Drosophila melanogaster: one gene and its partners. The gene in region 3 interacts genetically with the main gene of each other region. Each region holds a gene or a part of one and is shown on either strand. Other genes may lie near its edges. The genes, in order: axed, trp and Nmnat.

The links.
Region 1: of Nmnat (region 3) and axed, changing one suppresses a phenotype caused by changing the other (phenotypic suppression), as found in Drosophila melanogaster (one study listed by BioGRID).
Region 2: of Nmnat (region 3) and trp, changing one suppresses a phenotype caused by changing the other (phenotypic suppression), as found in Drosophila melanogaster (one study listed by BioGRID).

What each region holds. Positions count from the first base shown.
Region 1 is NT_037436.4:6,607,308-6,612,488, forward strand, and holds the start of axed (axundead), read left to right. Parts: upstream 1-2,017; 5' UTR 2,018-2,162; coding exon 2,163-2,201; intron 2,202-2,269; exon of another isoform or gene 2,270-2,602; intron 2,603-5,181. Other genes in the region: Rexo5 (RNA exonuclease 5), read left to right, coding at 1-1,111.
Region 2 is NT_033777.3:29,914,223-29,922,156, reverse strand, and holds trp (transient receptor potential), read left to right. Parts: upstream 1-1,867; 5' UTR 1,868-2,093; coding exon 2,094-2,242; intron 2,243-2,300; coding exon 2,301-2,538; intron 2,539-2,599; coding exon 2,600-2,742; intron 2,743-3,129; coding exon 3,130-3,331; coding exon of another isoform or gene 3,332-3,340; exon of another isoform or gene 3,341-3,351; intron 3,352-3,425; coding exon 3,426-3,602; intron 3,603-3,769; coding exon 3,770-4,004; intron 4,005-4,059; coding exon 4,060-4,358; intron 4,359-4,415; coding exon 4,416-4,783; intron 4,784-4,844; coding exon 4,845-5,202; intron 5,203-5,517; coding exon 5,518-5,737; intron 5,738-5,948; coding exon 5,949-6,114; intron 6,115-6,169; coding exon 6,170-6,330; intron 6,331-6,389; coding exon 6,390-6,544; intron 6,545-6,604; coding exon 6,605-7,561; 3' UTR 7,562-7,636; downstream 7,637-7,934. Other genes in the region: Capa (capability), read left to right, coding at 7,900-7,934. UniProt on the Drosophila melanogaster protein: A light-sensitive calcium channel that is required for inositide-mediated Ca(2+) entry in the retina during phospholipase C (PLC)-mediated phototransduction.
Region 3 is NT_033777.3:24,943,423-24,948,073, reverse strand, and holds Nmnat (nicotinamide mononucleotide adenylyltransferase), read right to left. Parts: upstream 2,838-4,651; 5' UTR 2,817-2,837; coding exon 2,621-2,816; intron 2,549-2,620; coding exon 2,142-2,548; intron 2,091-2,141; coding exon 1,989-2,090; intron 1,931-1,988; coding exon 1,779-1,930; intron 1,599-1,778; coding exon of another isoform or gene 1,562-1,598; exon of another isoform or gene 1,241-1,561; intron 1,191-1,240; coding exon 920-1,190; intron 812-919; coding exon 770-811; 3' UTR 674-769; downstream 1-673. Other genes in the region: mah (mahogany), read right to left, coding at 1-442; ssh (slingshot), read left to right, coding at 4,425-4,484, 4,553-4,651. UniProt on the Drosophila melanogaster protein: Catalyzes the formation of NAD(+) from nicotinamide mononucleotide (NMN) and ATP. Essential for viability.

The DNA of each region.
Region 1 (5,181 bases), on a different chromosome or scaffold from region 3:
GCTCCTGCTGTCAGCGCTGCAAATGGTCGACGAGGGCTATCCTATTCCATTGCAGGGCGAGCTACACACTCGTTTCCAAAACTTTAAGTTTACCAAGGATCTGTATGCACCGGTAACCAATCGCAGTCCTATGTTCGGCGTTGATTGTGAAATGTGTCACACGGAGGCGGGTTGTAACGAGCTAACCCGAATCTCTATTGTCAACGAAAATTACGAGACCGTTTATGAAACGCTAGTGTTGCCAAATAACCGGATCACCGACTATCTAACCCAATATTCGGGCATAACCGCAGAAATTATGGAGCAAGTGACCAAGAGGCTGGATGTTGTGCAAAAGGAAGTGTCCGAACTGCTGCCTCCAGATGCCATTCTGGTGGGGCAATCTCTAAATTCTGACTTGAACGCCATGAAAATGATGCACCCGTATGTAATTGACACCAGCGTGTGCTTTAACACATCTGGGGTGCGACGACGCAAGACCAAGCTGAAGGATCTGGCCAAAACCTTTTTACAGGAAATTATCCAGGAGAACATCGATGGTCACGATTCCATTGAGGATTCGCGAGCCACGCTGAAGCTCGTCAAGAAGAAGCTGGCAAACAGCATCGAGTTCGGAGACCAGATCCTCACGCAGCACAAGCAATTACAGGAGTTGGCGAACGCATCCAGCGGTGATACCATATCCAACAATCTGTTTGCACATGTGGCAAAGCGGGATAAGCGCACGGCCATTGTCACGGTCGGCGAGCTGCAGCCCCGTCTAAAGGAAGTGATCGAAAAGGCGGGAGAGGCAGCGCCCAAGGATCAAAGTACGTCGGTGCATGTCCACGAGGTATCTACGGCCAAGGAAGCCATTCGGAAGGTCAATGAAGTTGCACTGGAAAATGCCCTGACAATTGCCAACCTCCGCGTGCCAGAGCAGGACTTTATATTGGACAGTGCACAGCGGAGTGTTGCCAAACTGGACAAGACCATTGATCGCCTGTGGAAGTCAGTTGCGCACAACGGACTCTTCCTCGTCATCATGGGCGGATCCACAGAGTGCTCGAAGGGTGTAGCCAAAATAGCCATCAAGCGACTAAACGGATCGAATCAGACTATGGAAAGTTAGGGAGCTTTTAAGAACCTTACTTATGCTAACCGCCTCCATGGATACCCGCTCCCACTAAGGTCCTGAGTGTTGAAATCCAGCAGATAAATCAAATTTACCGTATCACACTGAAGACATGACCAACAGTTGCATTACCATACACCTGGGAAATGTCCTGCATGCATGAGTGCATCGATGAAAAATTGTAAAATTAAAAACAAATTCGATCAATAACGAATAATAAAATGTACATTTAATTTTTTTCACAAAATTCCATTGGCTTCTGCATAGTTGTATTAAATTAAATGAGCGGTAAAAATTATTATGGATTATTGTATAAAGAAAAAACTATACAAAAAACTAATTATTATTGATTCCATTTTAAAATTTTCTGAAAGGGTCAACATAATACATGGTTTATTGAACCGTAAAAACTGTTCGTGTCCGCAGGCAATTAGAAATAATTCCAGTATCCGTCCGATACATTTTCCGGATGGAGCATTCCAAACTGGCTGCTTGAATTTGACCCAGTTTCGTCTGGTTTGCATTGCCCGATATATGTGGCTGGTGGTGCTCGCTGGCCAGGCGGCTGTGTTGATAAGAGCCACAAATTTCCTACCTCCCTCAATGTGGTGCTCCGTTGTCTAGGGCCCGGCCCGAAAGCCCGAACTGGGCCTCCTCCCTAGAAGCGCCCACGCACTCTCGCTCTCCCTGGCTTTTTCATTTCCCTCTCTGTCGCTTTGGAAAGGGAAAGTCCCCGCAGCGGAGTATCTGTGTCTTATCACACGCTCGAAAATGTTGCGTCTTTTTTGGCTGAGTACTCATACGACCTGTAGGTCGTGCTCAAAGTTTCTATGCGCATGTCCCGCCGCAAGAATTTTCTGAGAATTTTCCCCAATTCCGGTGGAATGTTGCCAGACGGCTGGTGTTTTGCCATCAACTGGCAGGTATTTTCAAATATTATAACATATTTAAGTTCGACTTATGCCTTTCCGGGCCGAACACAATTGAAACTGAAGATTTAAAAGCCCTGGTCAGGATCACTAACTCATATGGTGCCCATATTTTGGACATGGACCAGTATGGTGGCAACGCCAGCCCGGGAAATTTGGTATGTTTTCCTGCTGTCTCGTTTGTTTTTCATATTTTTGGCTTGGCGCTCTTCGTACAAATCTTGTTGTATATACGCTTTTTGGCTCTCGAGCGGAGACGTCGTCGTCGTTGTTGGCTGCCTTTCCCAATTCCGTTTGGCACGAGGCGCGCAAAACTCTCGGATCGGATCGCATCGGATCGAAACGGAAATATATACGCGAGTATCGGCGGGGCTATATGGCCAAAATATCTGTATATATGTATCTGATTATTGGCATAAACAAATCGGCGTAAACAGAATTTGCATTAAGTTTGAAGATTTTGACATCGAGGCGGAAGTTCATAGTTATCTCAGCTGAAAATTGGCGAATAAATTTCGAAAATCGAGAGTTGGCCCATCCGACAAATTCATAAACTGGGGTAAGTCTCTGTGTATAATTAATCAGAATGCAAAGGAATGAAATGCTGTATACAAACAGAGGCGAGCAATTGGCCAACATAAATTGTGTATCCATAAAATACACAGACACTGGCGAATGAAAGCCTGTTCAAAGGAAAGTTTTCCGACTCTCTGCGTCTCTGTGTGTGTGTGGGTGTAATTATGCGCGTGTATGGGTGTATGGAAAAGTCGTTCACTGTGTCAGTGTTTCATTGTATCATCAGCTGGGCATCCATCGCGCATACGCCGCATTGTCAATTGTTACGAGCACTCACGCCCATTCCCCAGCTTCGCCCTTGGCACCAACTGGTTGCCCCAGCGCCAACCGACCCCAATCCCCGCCAGAAATCCCAGAATCGCGCTCTTGATATTGCTCTATTGGCCCATGCCAAACCCCATGAATTTAGCAAAGGTCTCCTCTTTCTTTTGCCAGCTTTTGCAAATTTGTTTCAACTGTTTGTTCCACTTTCATTCAGTGGCCACTCACCCTTTTGTTTTCCCCGCCGAACATGGAACATGTTGCGTAGGGTTTTTCCTTCACCTTCCACACCCCCAGCGATTTTCCTGCGCGTCGAGGGTGAGTTTTTCGCTTTTTTTCCGCCCTTCCCGTTTTCGTGTTTTGTTTGCAATTCGGGAGGCAGCACTTTTGTTAGCTCCAAAGTCCCCTAAAATTTGATTTCTATGAAAGCCGAAGGGAAATTGAATTTTACCCAATTTTTGTAATTATATGGTTTTGTTATTTTTGGTAATCTTCGATACCATAAAGCAGAATATTTGTGAAGTACTAGAGATAACTAATATAGGTTTTTATTCATACTCTTATAATATCGATGGAAAATTTTATACATAATTTTTTCATTTTGCTTGTTACAACTAGTTTCTGTTTAGGCAATTATGTAAATAATATTGCCACCTTTTCTCCAATCAATTCCTATACTTTGAAATTGGCATTTTTGGCGCGTTGCCAAAAGACCAGTGAGCAATTCGGTCGTCATTTGGCTGGATCTTCGCAGGGGATGGATGAGTAATGCAATTTTCCAAGCCAAGAACAAACAACAAATTCCATTTGTTGTATTTGCTCCGCGGCATTCGGTTTGTCCGCAATCAAATCAAATGATGTCATTTTCCCGTTGTGAAAAGCCATCCTGTCCGAAGGTGTCCATAGTGCCATCGATACGTAGTATATGTGTAGTAATATGGTGCCTGGTCGCGGAACAAACGCTCCATGAATGGATGAGTCAGTGGAAGTTACGGGATGGAGGTGTCTACCCATGGCAAATTGAATTACGCATCCGAAGTACTGCAGTTAGGCGGCTTCGGGTGAGAAGTTCAAAATCCAAATCGTATTTGTTACAGATAAGAATGTTTGCTTATTAATAAAGTATGGTAGTGTGACTATCAGAATGATGGGCTTCACGCCAATAATAAGATTGCCACTGCGAAAAGGAGTTCGTTAACCGTATAGTGTGATAAATGGTAATGATAAAACCAAGTAAAGATGATCATATAATTTCATGTTTTTGCATTTTTGTTGCATTAACAGCGAGCGCGCATATAATTTTAAGTAATTTTAGCTTCAACTGTTTCCAAAGTTTCATAATCTCGTAGTACTTAGACTGCTGCCCATGGGCTAATTTTAATAAACCACCTCATTAGGATGGGTATAAATAGAGGAGCCATTGCACTGGCTGCGAACTCTTCCTGCTCCGCCGAAGAATGTGGCAAGTGGTTTATTTTTGAACTATGCGGCAATAGCAGGTGGAATTTGAAGTTGGCAGTGTTCGGCGGATCAGGAAGCGAATTGTACTGGGATTAGATGGGTTGGGCTCCCAGTTCTTTCCCATCGAATTCTTTGGCTTGTTTTTTAGCAGTTTCATTTGTTCGATTGTTTGCTTTGAACCGCGCACATTGCGTGATGTTTACCGGCAGCCAACAAAGTGAGTAATTATGTTAAATTTCGACTAATTAAACATTTTCGCCGCCCGCCTGTTTGGCGTAAATATCGATATTGCTCCACATTGTTGATGCTGCTAATTAAATTTTCCCTTATAAATGCAAATATTTGATTCGGCCCGGCGATCGTAAACGGGTTTTCGAGCGATCCAATCGCTATGTTGATCTTGGGGAAATGCGTGCACAGTGGACCCTGTTGTCACCCAACCGCCCAGCCACCCAATGTCAAGGTCGTTCGTGAGGCGAACTTCGAGTGCTAACTGTTAACAGTTTTTGCTGTTGTTCTGGCCGGTTTCATATGTTTTTTCCCATCTGGAGCTTCCGCTTTACATGGGGACTCATTAGCAGTCTTCGCTGCTCCAGTAGCCCCACATGAAATACATATGTAAACACTAGTGGCATATGCCTCAGCGAGGGCAGATCGAAGAGTATCAGTCTTTCATATCTGTGGTTACCTTAGGCAGATATACCTTAATAGTTAATTATTAACAGTCACATACGACTCAAGCTGGAACTATGAACTGTAAAATTAGAGTTCTGAGACAAAGGTTTTTACTGTTCAAATAATTGCATTAATCAGCTTAAACATTTTGTGTGCGAGTACTAC
Region 2 (7,934 bases), 5.0 Mb from region 3:
GTGTCAAACTACCCATATGTTGAGCTGGAGGGCAGTAAATTAATGTCATCCAGATTACATAGGAGCAAAAAGACAAAAAATAAACAACGCAGAGGCTTGTACAGCAATATAAAAAACGTAAACTTATCAGTGTTCAATGATTTGCGAATCAGTTAAAAATACAATAAATTTAATGTTAAATACTACTCATCGGATGCAATTCATAAAATCATTTTCTACGTGGGTACATTCAATTTGTTTAAACACATAAGTATCTTATCGGTGCCATAAAGCAAATCAGCATTGATACTATAGATTTTTACGATCATGTTGAGGGCTTAGAGATATAATTTTAATACAGATGGCCATAAAATGAATTTTATCCCGCAATCTTGACGGTTTCCGGTGGGGAGACAGTGAAAGTGCAACCTGCTACGCAAACCCAGGGAAAATGAGCTCTTTCGCTTTTCTCGTGGAGAACTGAGCACATAACTCACAAGGGTCCTTAAAAGCTAAATAAGGCAGGAGTTTTGTTGGAGGCCAATGAATCATTGAGTGCAACCCAGTTGTACACTGCAGAAAATCATGTATAAACCCAACATAGCATTTAGTTAATGGGAACTTATAAGAAGAATGTGCATTTAGCCACATTTGTGTAATGAGGAGTACCTTTATATAATTACGAGAATGCCATCCAGGTATTTTCAGCTATGGCCTCTAATTAATTCGCACTTAATGAGTTCCCCTCGACAGCTGTGACTTTAATTTTGAAATTCCTTGGGCCACCATCACTTCCTTCCTCTTCTCTTGGAAGCCATGCGAGTGGAGTGTGGAGTGCATTGGCCCCGCTAAAAACCCCGTACGACTTGAACACGTACGATGCCATTCCGCCCGGAGCTCCATTGAACCCCACCTTTCGAACACACACATTCATCTCAAAGGGCTGCTCCGTGAAAGTGGGCTTGTTCCTTTTCCTTTTCTCCGCCTTTAGCCAGGAGCTGGCATTTAGTTCCAAGTGCATTGACACACAAAAGCCCTGCGAGCGCCCTGAAGTAAGCAACATTCAACATTCAAGGCTCAAGACGCTCGGCTGCCAAGGACGAGTTGGGTCTTAGATGTACACCACCCCACCTCCCCCTCCCACTTCCCATGCAGATTAATCAATATTCATCAATCACAAAGTCAGAATCACTGACCCAGTGCCCAAAAGGCATTCGAAATCATTTCAATTCGGTAGATACTCGACTGTAAACTGCAGGTGTGGTGTGTTTTCCGGCTCTGTTGGTTAGCCAAAAGCTTAAAAGCTTGCATTTTCTCCTATTTTTAAGGGCTTTTCTCGGTGAATAGTTCTAGGATATGAACCCAAGTCCATGAATCCCTATTTACTCGCAAATTAACACCCTCATGCTACTTTTTGAATATTAAGTAGCTTTGAATTTCGGCTTGAATAGGTGTCAAAAAGTATGCAAAGTGCGTATTTTTTTTTTGGGCATTGATCTATATTGCTGGGTACAAAATATTAGACACCTATTTAATTTCATATCTCAACTGTATGCATCATTTCATCGAAATATAAGCAGATAATATTGTTCCATTTAGCACGTTTTGTTTTTCACTTACATATAAACCCACTGGGCAGTATTGATTTGGATTTTCAGGCATAAAAGTGGTGCGATTCCGTTGCTGGGGCTTCGAAAATCGAAAGTCGCTCATCACGTGCAATGCAACCACAAATGGACGAAAGATTCCTGAACTGAAATCGCTAAAATCGGTTGCTGCCTCCAAATGCAGCCCCACAATTACCGAAGTGCGGTCAAATGGGCCCATTGACTCGGGGTTCGCCCACACATTGACCGAGTTTTAGCCACATTGGGCACTAATGTAATTAGTGGAATATAGCGACCCGTGGCTGCCACTTTTCAGCAGTGCAACGCGGCTAATTGGAGGCGGAACATCGCCACGATGGAACACTAAAGGATACAGTGCGCGAAAGGATTACGCCAAGGCTCCCCGAGGAGCAGGGATAAATGCCCATAGTGTTTGTGAGATGTGAAGTGACCGAGTGATCCGATCCTGATAATCGCGTTCGCATAGACCAGTAAATCAGTGCAGATATGGGCAGCAATACGGAATCCGATGCCGAGAAGGCGTTGGGGTCTCGCCTGGATTACGACCTGATGATGGCCGAGGAGTACATCCTCAGCGATGTGGAGAAGAATTTCATATTGTCCTGCGAGCGGGGTGACTTGCCAGGTGTCAAGAAGTGAGGCTTCCTCCCTATGGCTTCGAGTAACTCGGCTAATATGATTTCGTCCTTGAAGGATCCTCGAGGAGTACCAGGGCACGGACAAGTTCAACATTAACTGCACGGATCCCATGAACCGCTCCGCCCTCATTTCGGCCATCGAGAACGAGAACTTCGACCTGATGGTGATCCTGCTGGAGCATAACATCGAGGTGGGCGACGCCCTGTTGCACGCCATCTCGGAGGAGTATGTGGAGGCGGTGGAGGAGCTGCTGCAGTGGGAGGAGACCAACCACAAGGAGGGCCAGCCATACGTAGGTCACATCCTGCCGCAGAATATGCCACAACTCTTACTCTTTTCCCCTCCTTTGGCAGAGCTGGGAGGCGGTGGACCGCTCCAAGTCCACCTTCACCGTGGACATCACGCCCCTTATCCTGGCCGCCCACCGAAATAACTACGAGATACTCAAAATCCTCCTGGATCGCGGGGCCACGCTGCCCATGCCGCACGACGTCAAGTGAGTGGGGTGGTGTAGGGATGCAGTTGCTCGGTGATATGGCTATGTAGTGAGCTTCCTCGTCCTTCGAGCGGCACGTTCCATTGTTTGTCCAATTGGCAACACACTTATGTAGCACATCGCTGGGTGCCTCTAATTTTAGATAATTGCGGGCAAATTAGGGTGAAATATTAATACAGGGTGTAATGTTGTGTGTGGGAAGAGCAGGTCCTTGAATGTTCTTAAATTGGGTCAATGGACTCAAGCCTTTAACAGCGTCATAAATGTCCTTGCTAGGAGAGAAGGTCCTTTGTACTCCTTTCAGATTGATTTAAATGTATTTATTATTATAGAACTCTTGGGTTCCGTACACTTTGTATATCATCGCTTAATCTCAATTGTTTCTAGGTGCGGCTGCGATGAGTGTGTGACCTCCCAGATGACGGACTCCCTGCGCCACTCGCAGTCGAGGATCAACGCATACCGCGCCCTGTCCGCCAGCTCGCTGATAGCGCTCAGCTCCCGGGACCCTGTACTGACCGCCTTCCAATTGTCCTGGGAACTCAAGCGCCTGCAGGCGATGGAATCGGAGTTTCGTGCCGAATACACGGTACGGTAGTAGTGTGCAATGTAAGCGGTGGCCAGTGTGCCACTAGAGTCTATGCGAATGCGAATGCGAGCCTTTGTTTGTGTTTGCCCAACAGGAGATGCGTCAGATGGTGCAGGACTTCGGGACCTCGCTCCTGGATCACGCACGCACATCCATGGAACTCGAGGTGATGCTCAACTTCAACCACGAGCCGTCCCACGACATCTGGTGCCTTGGCCAGCGGCAAACCCTGGAACGACTGAAGCTGGCCATTCGCTATAAGCAAAAAACGGTGGGTTCGGACTAATCCGTGCACATTAAGGAACTGTGAAGGTTACAAGCTTGTGGCTAGATACCCATGCCTAATCCACCACAGACCAACTGGGATTTAATAGCTTTATATATAGAAACGGATCTTAGTACCCTGCTTGAATTTATAAACATTACTCCCCCTTCTAGTTTGTGGCACATCCAAATGTCCAACAATTGTTGGCCGCCATTTGGTACGACGGACTGCCGGGCTTCCGGCGCAAGCAGGCCTCCCAGCAGCTGATGGATGTCGTGAAGCTGGGATGCAGCTTCCCCATCTACAGCTTGAAGTACATCCTGGCCCCGGATTCCGAGGGTGCCAAGTTCATGCGCAAGCCCTTTGTCAAGTTCATCACGCACTCCTGCTCCTACATGTTCTTCCTGAGTGGGTAAAGTGGGTGCTTAACACTTCATCCATCTAAATATGCGCCCATTCACAGTGCTCCTGGGTGCTGCCTCCCTGAGGGTGGTGCAAATCACCTTTGAACTCCTCGCATTTCCCTGGATGCTGACCATGCTGGAGGATTGGCGCAAACACGAGAGAGGTTCACTACCGGGTCCCATTGAACTGGCAATCATTACCTACATAATGGCTCTAATATTTGAGGAACTGAAATCTTTATATTCGGACGGCTTGTTTGAGTACATCATGGATCTTTGGAACATAGTGGACTACATATCGAACATGTTCTATGTGACGTGGATTCTTTGTAGGGCCACCGCTTGGGTAATCGTCCATGTGAGTCCATATGAATCTAATGAATAAATTGGAGTTACTGAAACGAATTGATTTCAGCGTGATCTCTGGTTCCGGGGCATAGATCCTTACTTCCCAAGGGAACACTGGCATCCGTTTGATCCAATGCTTCTATCAGAGGGCGCCTTTGCTGCCGGAATGGTCTTCTCCTATCTAAAGCTCGTCCACATCTTCTCCATTAATCCCCACCTGGGACCCTTGCAAGTTTCACTGGGTCGCATGATAATCGACATCATCAAGTTCTTCTTCATCTACACACTGGTGTTGTTTGCCTTCGGATGTGGTCTCAACCAGTTGCTATGGTACTACGCTGAGCTGGAGAAGAACAAGTGCTATCACCTGCATCCCGATGTGGCTGACTTTGATGACCAGGAGAAGGCTTGTACCATCTGGCGAAGATTTTCCAAGTATATTACATTCATTTCTATGTACTTTATCATATTGGCATCCCATTTCAATTTACTTTAGCTTATTCGAAACATCACAATCGCTCTTTTGGGCCTCTTTTGGCCTGGTGGACCTGGTCTCCTTCGATCTGGCGGGAATCAAGAGCTTCACCCGCTTCTGGGCACTGCTAATGTTCGGCTCCTATTCGGTTATCAACATCATTGTGCTTCTCAACATGCTGATTGCCATGATGTCCAACTCCTACCAAATCATCTCGGAGCGAGCCGACACTGAGTGGAAGTTCGCCCGATCCCAGCTGTGGATGAGCTACTTCGAGGATGGCGGCACCATTCCACCGCCCTTCAACCTCTGTCCCAACATGAAGATGTTGAGGAAGACCCTGGGCCGAAAGCGACCGTCACGAACCAAGAGCTTCATGGTAAGTTACACTCAGAGAAATTCAATATTTCAGTTTAAGTATTATACAAATCCACACATATATATTAAATTCAGTGTACTCTACTTTTAAATGATATTTCTTATCATATTACTTTTAAATGTAAGTAACATTTCGAAAGTTCGATTTTTTCAAGTTGAATCACCTCACAGTGAGAGGCGGCTCACAATCAATACAAATCTTAAGCGAAATCATTTTCAATCAAGCCCATGCAGAGCTATCTGTGCGTCAAATTGACGTCTAATACATCCTTTCTGTGTCCTTCCACCCTCTAATGCTCCCTGTTCCAACTCCCAGCGAAAGTCCATGGAACGGGCACAGACGCTGCATGACAAAGTGATGAAGCTGCTGGTCAGGAGGTACATTACGGCGGAGCAGAGGCGGCGGGACGATTACGGCATTACCGAGGATGATATCATTGAGGTGCGCCAGGACATCAGCTCCTTGCGGTTCGAGTTGCTGGAGATTTTCACCAACAATAACTGGGATGTACCCGACATTGAGAAGAAGTCGCAGGGTAAGGGAAGCCTACCCACATCCAAATTGGCAACTTACACGTGTCTTAAGATAGAAGTAGCAGTATATATGAATAATTATTTACAATTAGCTTTTGAATACCTAATAAAGTTCACCCCATCTTGAATATTAATTTGAAATATGTTGTGCTAGAAGACTACAAAGCTAGAATGGATTTTAATGGATTTTATTCACTAAACTTACTTTTGAAGGAGTTGCTCGAACCACCAAGGGCAAGGTGATGGAACGTCGCATCCTTAAGGACTTCCAAATCGGCTTCGTCGAGAATCTGAAGCAGGAAATGAGCGAATCTGAGAGCGGACGAGATATATTCTCATCGCTGGCCAAGGTCATCGGCAGAAAGAAGACCCAGAAGGGGTAGGTCCACTTAAATCTGTAAGACGCTTTGAATAATGGTTATTATTCTCAACAGAGACAAGGATTGGAACGCCATTGCGAGGAAGAATACTTTCGCCTCCGATCCCATTGGCTCCAAGCGCTCCTCCATGCAACGTCATAGCCAGCGAAGCTTGAGGAGGAAGATCATCGAGCAGGCGAATGAGGGTCTTCAGATGAACCAGACCCAGTTGATTGGTAAATTAATAAAGATGTGCCCAATGTATGTATATTTCCATACCCTTGATCTCCTCCAGAATTCAATCCCAACTTGGGTGATGTGACGCGTGCCACAAGAGTGGCTTATGTCAAGTTCATGCGGAAGAAGATGGCTGCCGACGAGGTTTCCTTGGCCGATGACGAGGGTGCTCCAAATGGCGAAGGCGAAAAGAAGCCACTGGATGCCTCTGGGGTACGTTCCAATCAATATATGTATATGTATTCCCTGGCTAATATATAATCTCACTTGCAGTCTAAAAAGTCCATAACTAGTGGTGGAACTGGAGGAGGAGCTTCTATGTTGGCTGCAGCTGCTCTAAGAGCATCGGTTAAGAATGTGGATGAAAAATCCGGAGCCGATGGCAAGCCCGGCACGATGGGCAAGCCAACGGATGACAAGAAAGCAGGTGATGATAAGGATAAGCAGCAGCCTCCCAAGGACTCCAAGCCGTCAGCAGGTGGTCCCAAGCCCGGGGATCAGAAGCCAACTCCGGGTGCGGGAGCTCCAAAGCCCCAAGCAGCTGGCACTATCAGCAAGCCCGGTGAGTCACAAAAGAAGGACGCTCCGGCACCACCAACCAAACCTGGAGACACCAAGCCTGCTGCGCCGAAGCCTGGAGAATCCGCCAAGCCCGAGGCCGCTGCCAAAAAGGAGGAGTCTTCCAAGACCGAAGCTAGCAAGCCGGCAGCCACAAATGGAGCAGCCAAGAGCGCAGCTCCCTCCGCTCCTTCGGATGCCAAGCCGGATTCCAAACTGAAACCTGGAGCAGCTGGAGCACCAGAAGCAACTAAGGCAACCAATGGGGCCTCCAAGCCGGACGAAAAGAAGAGCGGTCCGGAGGAGCCAAAAAAGGCTGCAGGAGACTCCAAGCCAGGAGACGATGCCAAGGACAAGGATAAGAAACCCGGCGACGATAAGGACAAGAAACCTGGCGACGACAAAGACAAGAAACCTGCTGACAATAATGATAAGAAGCCAGCCGATGACAAGGACAAGAAGCCGGGAGACGATAAGGACAAGAAGCCGGGTGACGACAAGGACAAGAAGCCGAGCGATGATAAGGACAAGAAGCCTGCCGATGACAAGGACAAGAAGCCAGCAGCAGCTCCTCTGAAGCCGGCGATCAAGGTGGGTCAGAGCAGTGCCGCAGCTGGCGGAGAACGAGGCAAATCCACGGTCACAGGACGCATGATCTCCGGCTGGCTCTAAGCCGCGGAATCCACTTTCATAGCAATTAAATAGTTAAGTCCTTTGTTTGTGTGAATAATAAAAAAAAAGAATCTCAAGTACCACGTTTCTGCAACTTGTTGCTAAAGGCCACCTGTTGCCAGCAACATCTCATTTGCATCGCAGCAACATTCATCATCCGCCCCGTTGTTCCGATGGCAATTTGTTTGTCTGCCATCCATCCGCCTGCTTTTCTGGCCTATAAAAGAACGTGAACTTCGACCAGAGGAATCAGAAGAACCGTGACCGTTCCGAGGATAACATCAGACCGAAAAACATATTCGCCAAGCCAGTGTTTCGTCCTAAATAGTCTTGCAAATATGAAATCTATGTTGGTCCACATAGTTCTAGTGAT
Region 3 (4,651 bases):
AGGGACCGTAAGCCAGCTCTGCTAGTGCGGCATACGGATAGTTGCGCTTCTGTTGAATTGAAGGATCAAGCAGTTCCGCCATGGTCCAGCATTGGGAGAGCAGGAAGGAGGTATAGATCTGCAGGATGATGATAGAAAGCACCAACAGGATGCCAAAGTATCCAAGTTTCACCAGCAATGCCGGCAGCGTGACAAATGGGAAGATGCCAAACAAATCCACCACGTACAGGATGGCGATGAAAAGCGAAAGGTTCTCCGGTTCGTCCTCGTAGGCGCGGAAATGGGGAAGGGCGCTGAACCGCGATCTTCGCAGGAAGGGCAACTGGTCGTGCTGATGCGAGGGCGTTAGCTGGACAGGAGGCCGACGCTTTGGAAGCGCAAAGGACGGAGCGCGCGAAGGGCGTGGCGCGGGTTTAGCATTCTGGCGACGGAAGAAGAACATTCGCGATGTGGACTCTTCCAAGGGAAGCAAGCAACTGCAGTCCCTCTAAGCTTAAACTAATGGTGGCCACTCTCGCCTGCAACTGGCATATTACCATCAACAAGTTCTGACATCAGACACCAAAGCGAAGCCCTGCAACGACTGCAATGTCAATGCACGTCGCCTGAAGTTCAATGCCTTGTCCCTCCACTCCGTGAAGTGACCCACAAAAGCATGGGCAGCCGTCAACTTGGTAACGAACGTGTTTATTTTGCATATTTATATAATATCAACAAATAGCTTCCAGCGCCCCTGTCTTAATCCGCGTGAGATTCGTCTTCCAGTTTCCTAAAGTTGCACTTGGGAAATCTTCTGCTTCTTTGCTTGGCTCTGAAAGAGGGGAATTGATTAGAAGGATCTAAACATAAGTTTGAAAGCAAAACTCTGGATTCCATCTATGTATGAAATGCAATGGATACAGCGGTTAAGGATACCCACCTCCTCTTTCTCATCTGCCTGCATGGTGATGACCTGCACCGCTTGTCCAGGACCGGATCGCAGCACCTTGGATCCACGTAAAGGCACCTCCCCGCAGCAGAAAACCCGCGACGTAGGCGTATGCTGCAGTTGCGGGCTTGGAGTGTCCGACTCGTCCATGTCCTGCTCCAGCTGGTCGCCTATAGAGTAGCTGTTCGCGTTCTTGTTGTTGTCCGTATAGGCGTGGTTAAAGAGCAAATGGTTGGGACGCACCGCATCCGTTATATACTTACTACATTCCATGGGTTAGGCGGGCATGGTCAGTACAATAGCAACAAAGTTAAGGTTATTGTTTAATGGGACTACATTTTGGCAACAATTCGGTGTAAGTAGATGATACGCACACTGACCACCGCAAAACTATGGCTAATTTAACAAGGGTATTTACAAGGGCTAAGATTGGGCAAAAATAAACATGCATTAAAGGAATCACTGCTAAATAGGAACTTGAACTCGGATCTGCTCTGCTCACTCACGCTCCATGAAGAGGCGCCACGGCTCAAACAGCTTATGGTGCTGGTGGGGCAAGTGGTGCGATTTGCGGTGCTGGTGGGTTGGAAAGCGTGTGGGCGACGAGGGCTTCTTTTTCACGTGCAAAGCGCGTCAAGAGTCGCATTCGGTCGGAGCCGGTGCATCCCGCCTGCAGTTTAAGACATAAAAGGAAACAATACAAAGACTGCTGGTGGTGCACGTTAAGTGTGTTCTCTGCTGTGTGAAATGGATTAAGGTGGCGCCTCATTCAGTGTACGTATCGTTTGAAAGATGGGTAATTGTAAGTGAACATGCAGGATTAAGGGGAGGTAACAGGAAGACCACCTACGATTTAAAGTTAAACAATCGTTGGCGCTTGATGTACTCCAGCACCAGATCGTCTAGAAGGTACTTGACCGACTGGCCGCGTCCTAAGAGCCGCCGAATCAACGTGGAGCTCACCTCATTAGGCACCCAGTTGGTGATTAGCGTAATGTTGCTCTGAAATGTGAATGGAAATGAATAAGAAATAATGTTGTCGAGGTACTGTCTCTCTAACCTGATACTTGGTCAATATGTCGGAGTCAAAGATGAATTTTCCTGGGTTTGAGCCGGCCCGGGTGATAACTACCAAACCATGGTTAGCCACAATGTCCTCAATCTGGGAACAATCATATAAAAAAAGGTACTATTCAAATATATCAAGACTTACATCGGCCTCTGCCCATAGGCCTGGAACAGCAAAGGACTCCAGCAGATCGGCACCGCACAGTAGCTTCAGATGTACAGGATCCCGACTGTCGTGCAACCCACGAGGCAGCCATCCGGGTAGATGTGTGTTCTCCCCGTCATCTCCGCCTCCCCCGCCGGAATTTATGTGGTTATTGATATAGTTCTGGTGGTGCTGGAGCACCGCCTGCGTGCGCATCCACTGATTCTGGTGCACCTCCCAATCGGACAACCGAATCCAATTGGAGCTCTGGGTGGCCAGCTTGACCATGGCACATCTGTCCAAGGCGGAGGCCAGACCCTTTTTGCCATATGAGTCGTGCGTGGGCGAGATGATGCCACCTACCACTCTGTGGGTTCCCTGCATTTCGAAGTGGTCCTTGGCTATCTCTGTTGACAAAAACATGCCGCGTAATTTTATCGATTATGTACCGCAGAATTTCACAATCTAGTTTAACTCACCGAACATCCGAAGGTGCATGGGTGTGGGTGGACTGAAGCATCCGCAGGCTATGAAGGCGATCCGCGGCAGCAGGCTTTTTGTTTCCTCGATGAATGCTGACATTTTCTTCGATTTTGAGCGTCTTTTAAAAGATCCAAACCGCCGGAAGCATTCGCTTGTTATGTTGTTCTTGGGCCAGCTGATTTTCACAATCATCTGTTCGGCTTGTTGTTATTTTCCAACACTAAACAGCTGTGCAGTGGCTACCACCTCTGACTACCTTTGACTTGTTATTCGATAAATGATAACTTAATGTAACTTAATTTTTTGATTTTTAATCATCAAAAAGGCAAGAGTACATAAAAATGTATTAAAGCCTGTTTTACTGATATATCAAGAAGTATACAAACATCACTGCGTTTCTCATTAATAAGTACTTTTTTCGGTGTACCACACGAACATTGCTTTCGCTTGCGATAGTTAGCCAGCCCTGCCAGAACGATTGCCTGACGATACTAGTGTTATCGATTAGAAATGGCGTCCTCACTGTCTTTCTTTTAAGAAAAATTCGTGTAGTCTATTTACCATTTAGCAGCGTTGTGTGTGTCCGTTAATTGTAAGGACACGCTGTTTCTTAGAGAGAACCGCCTGGCTAGAGTGTCCGGAAAGCGGAAACCAAGACGATCGCAGGACGAGGTCGCGGAGCCGACTGCAAAAACAACGGCCAGCAGGCAGCGATATGAAAATGCATTTGTAGCCTTAGCCCACAACACTTGCACACACACCACACACTCTCGCGCACACTCACACACAGGGAAAAGGAGGTGGAGCAGAAGGAGCCGAAGCAGGAGAGGATTGCAAGGGACACCGCTGCAGCATCGCCATCATCTGCGCCAGGTGGAACACGAGGGTCAAGAGGCGTCGGCGGGGGAGGAGGAGCAGGAGGTGGAGGAGCGGCTGCGGCGACGACGACGACGTCCACGACCACGGCAACAACAAATGGCGCTGGTGACGGTGCAGCGCTCTCCCAGTGTGGCGGGCTCCTGCTCGAATTCGGTGAGAGGAGACTTGATGGTTTTCGCGTGTGCGTATGCGTGTGTGCTTTGTTTTGGTCACCCCCACTCTGCCAGGAGAGCCAATTACGGGCAGGCTCTTTAGTGCGTGTTCCGCTTTTGGCCATGATCCTTTGTGTGCTCGGATGTGCTTTTCATGCCCAATGTTTATCATCCGCCAGCTTGTTGCTTACGCTTTTTGGATTTCGACGTTCAACGTTCGCGTGTGGGCGGTATGAGGCAGCGTCATCATCGTCATCGGCTGTGCTGCGCTGCGCTGCTTTTGGTGTAACCCAAGCAAATCCGCAGACGTCGCGACGTCTATATTTTTCAACAGACTTTTGCATTGCCTTATTTGTCGTTTTTGTCGCTTTCCGCTTACCGCTTGTTTTTGTTTTCTTCGCCGCCCCACCGCCCAAAAATAGTTCGCGAGACCTTGACGTCCGCCTGCACAGAGGGAAAAATTAATATCGGGGGTTGATCAATTTAATTTTACAAAACGTTTTAATTCAGATATGCTCAATATGTCAAATCGGTATTTTTGAACACATAAATTAACATTTTATTATTTCTAAGAAATCAGAAAATATAAAAAAAAAAAAAATACTTCACTAAACCGGAATCTTTTTCGAACTTGTGACCCTTTTCTCAAAATCAGACGGTATTCAGTTGAACAATCAGATTTCTTGGAACTGCAGATACAGCTTTGCTTCTTTTCCGCCCTTGAAGTGTAGACTATAATCAGGAGTTTATCTTACCCCTTTGCAAAATAATGAGCATGCAAGTTTGTTCTTTGCCAGACGACATCCTTATATTTAGCCTAACCCCACGGGTGAGGTGCAGCAGGATAAGGTATTCTTAAACACCGAGTAAACAACTTTCCTTTCTCTATAACATCAGGATGGCGAGTCCGAGGACGACGAGGGCAATAGCAAAGGAAACGATCGCAGCGAGTGCTTCTTTGCCGGCAAGGGAACCGCCCTGGTACTGGCTCTTAAG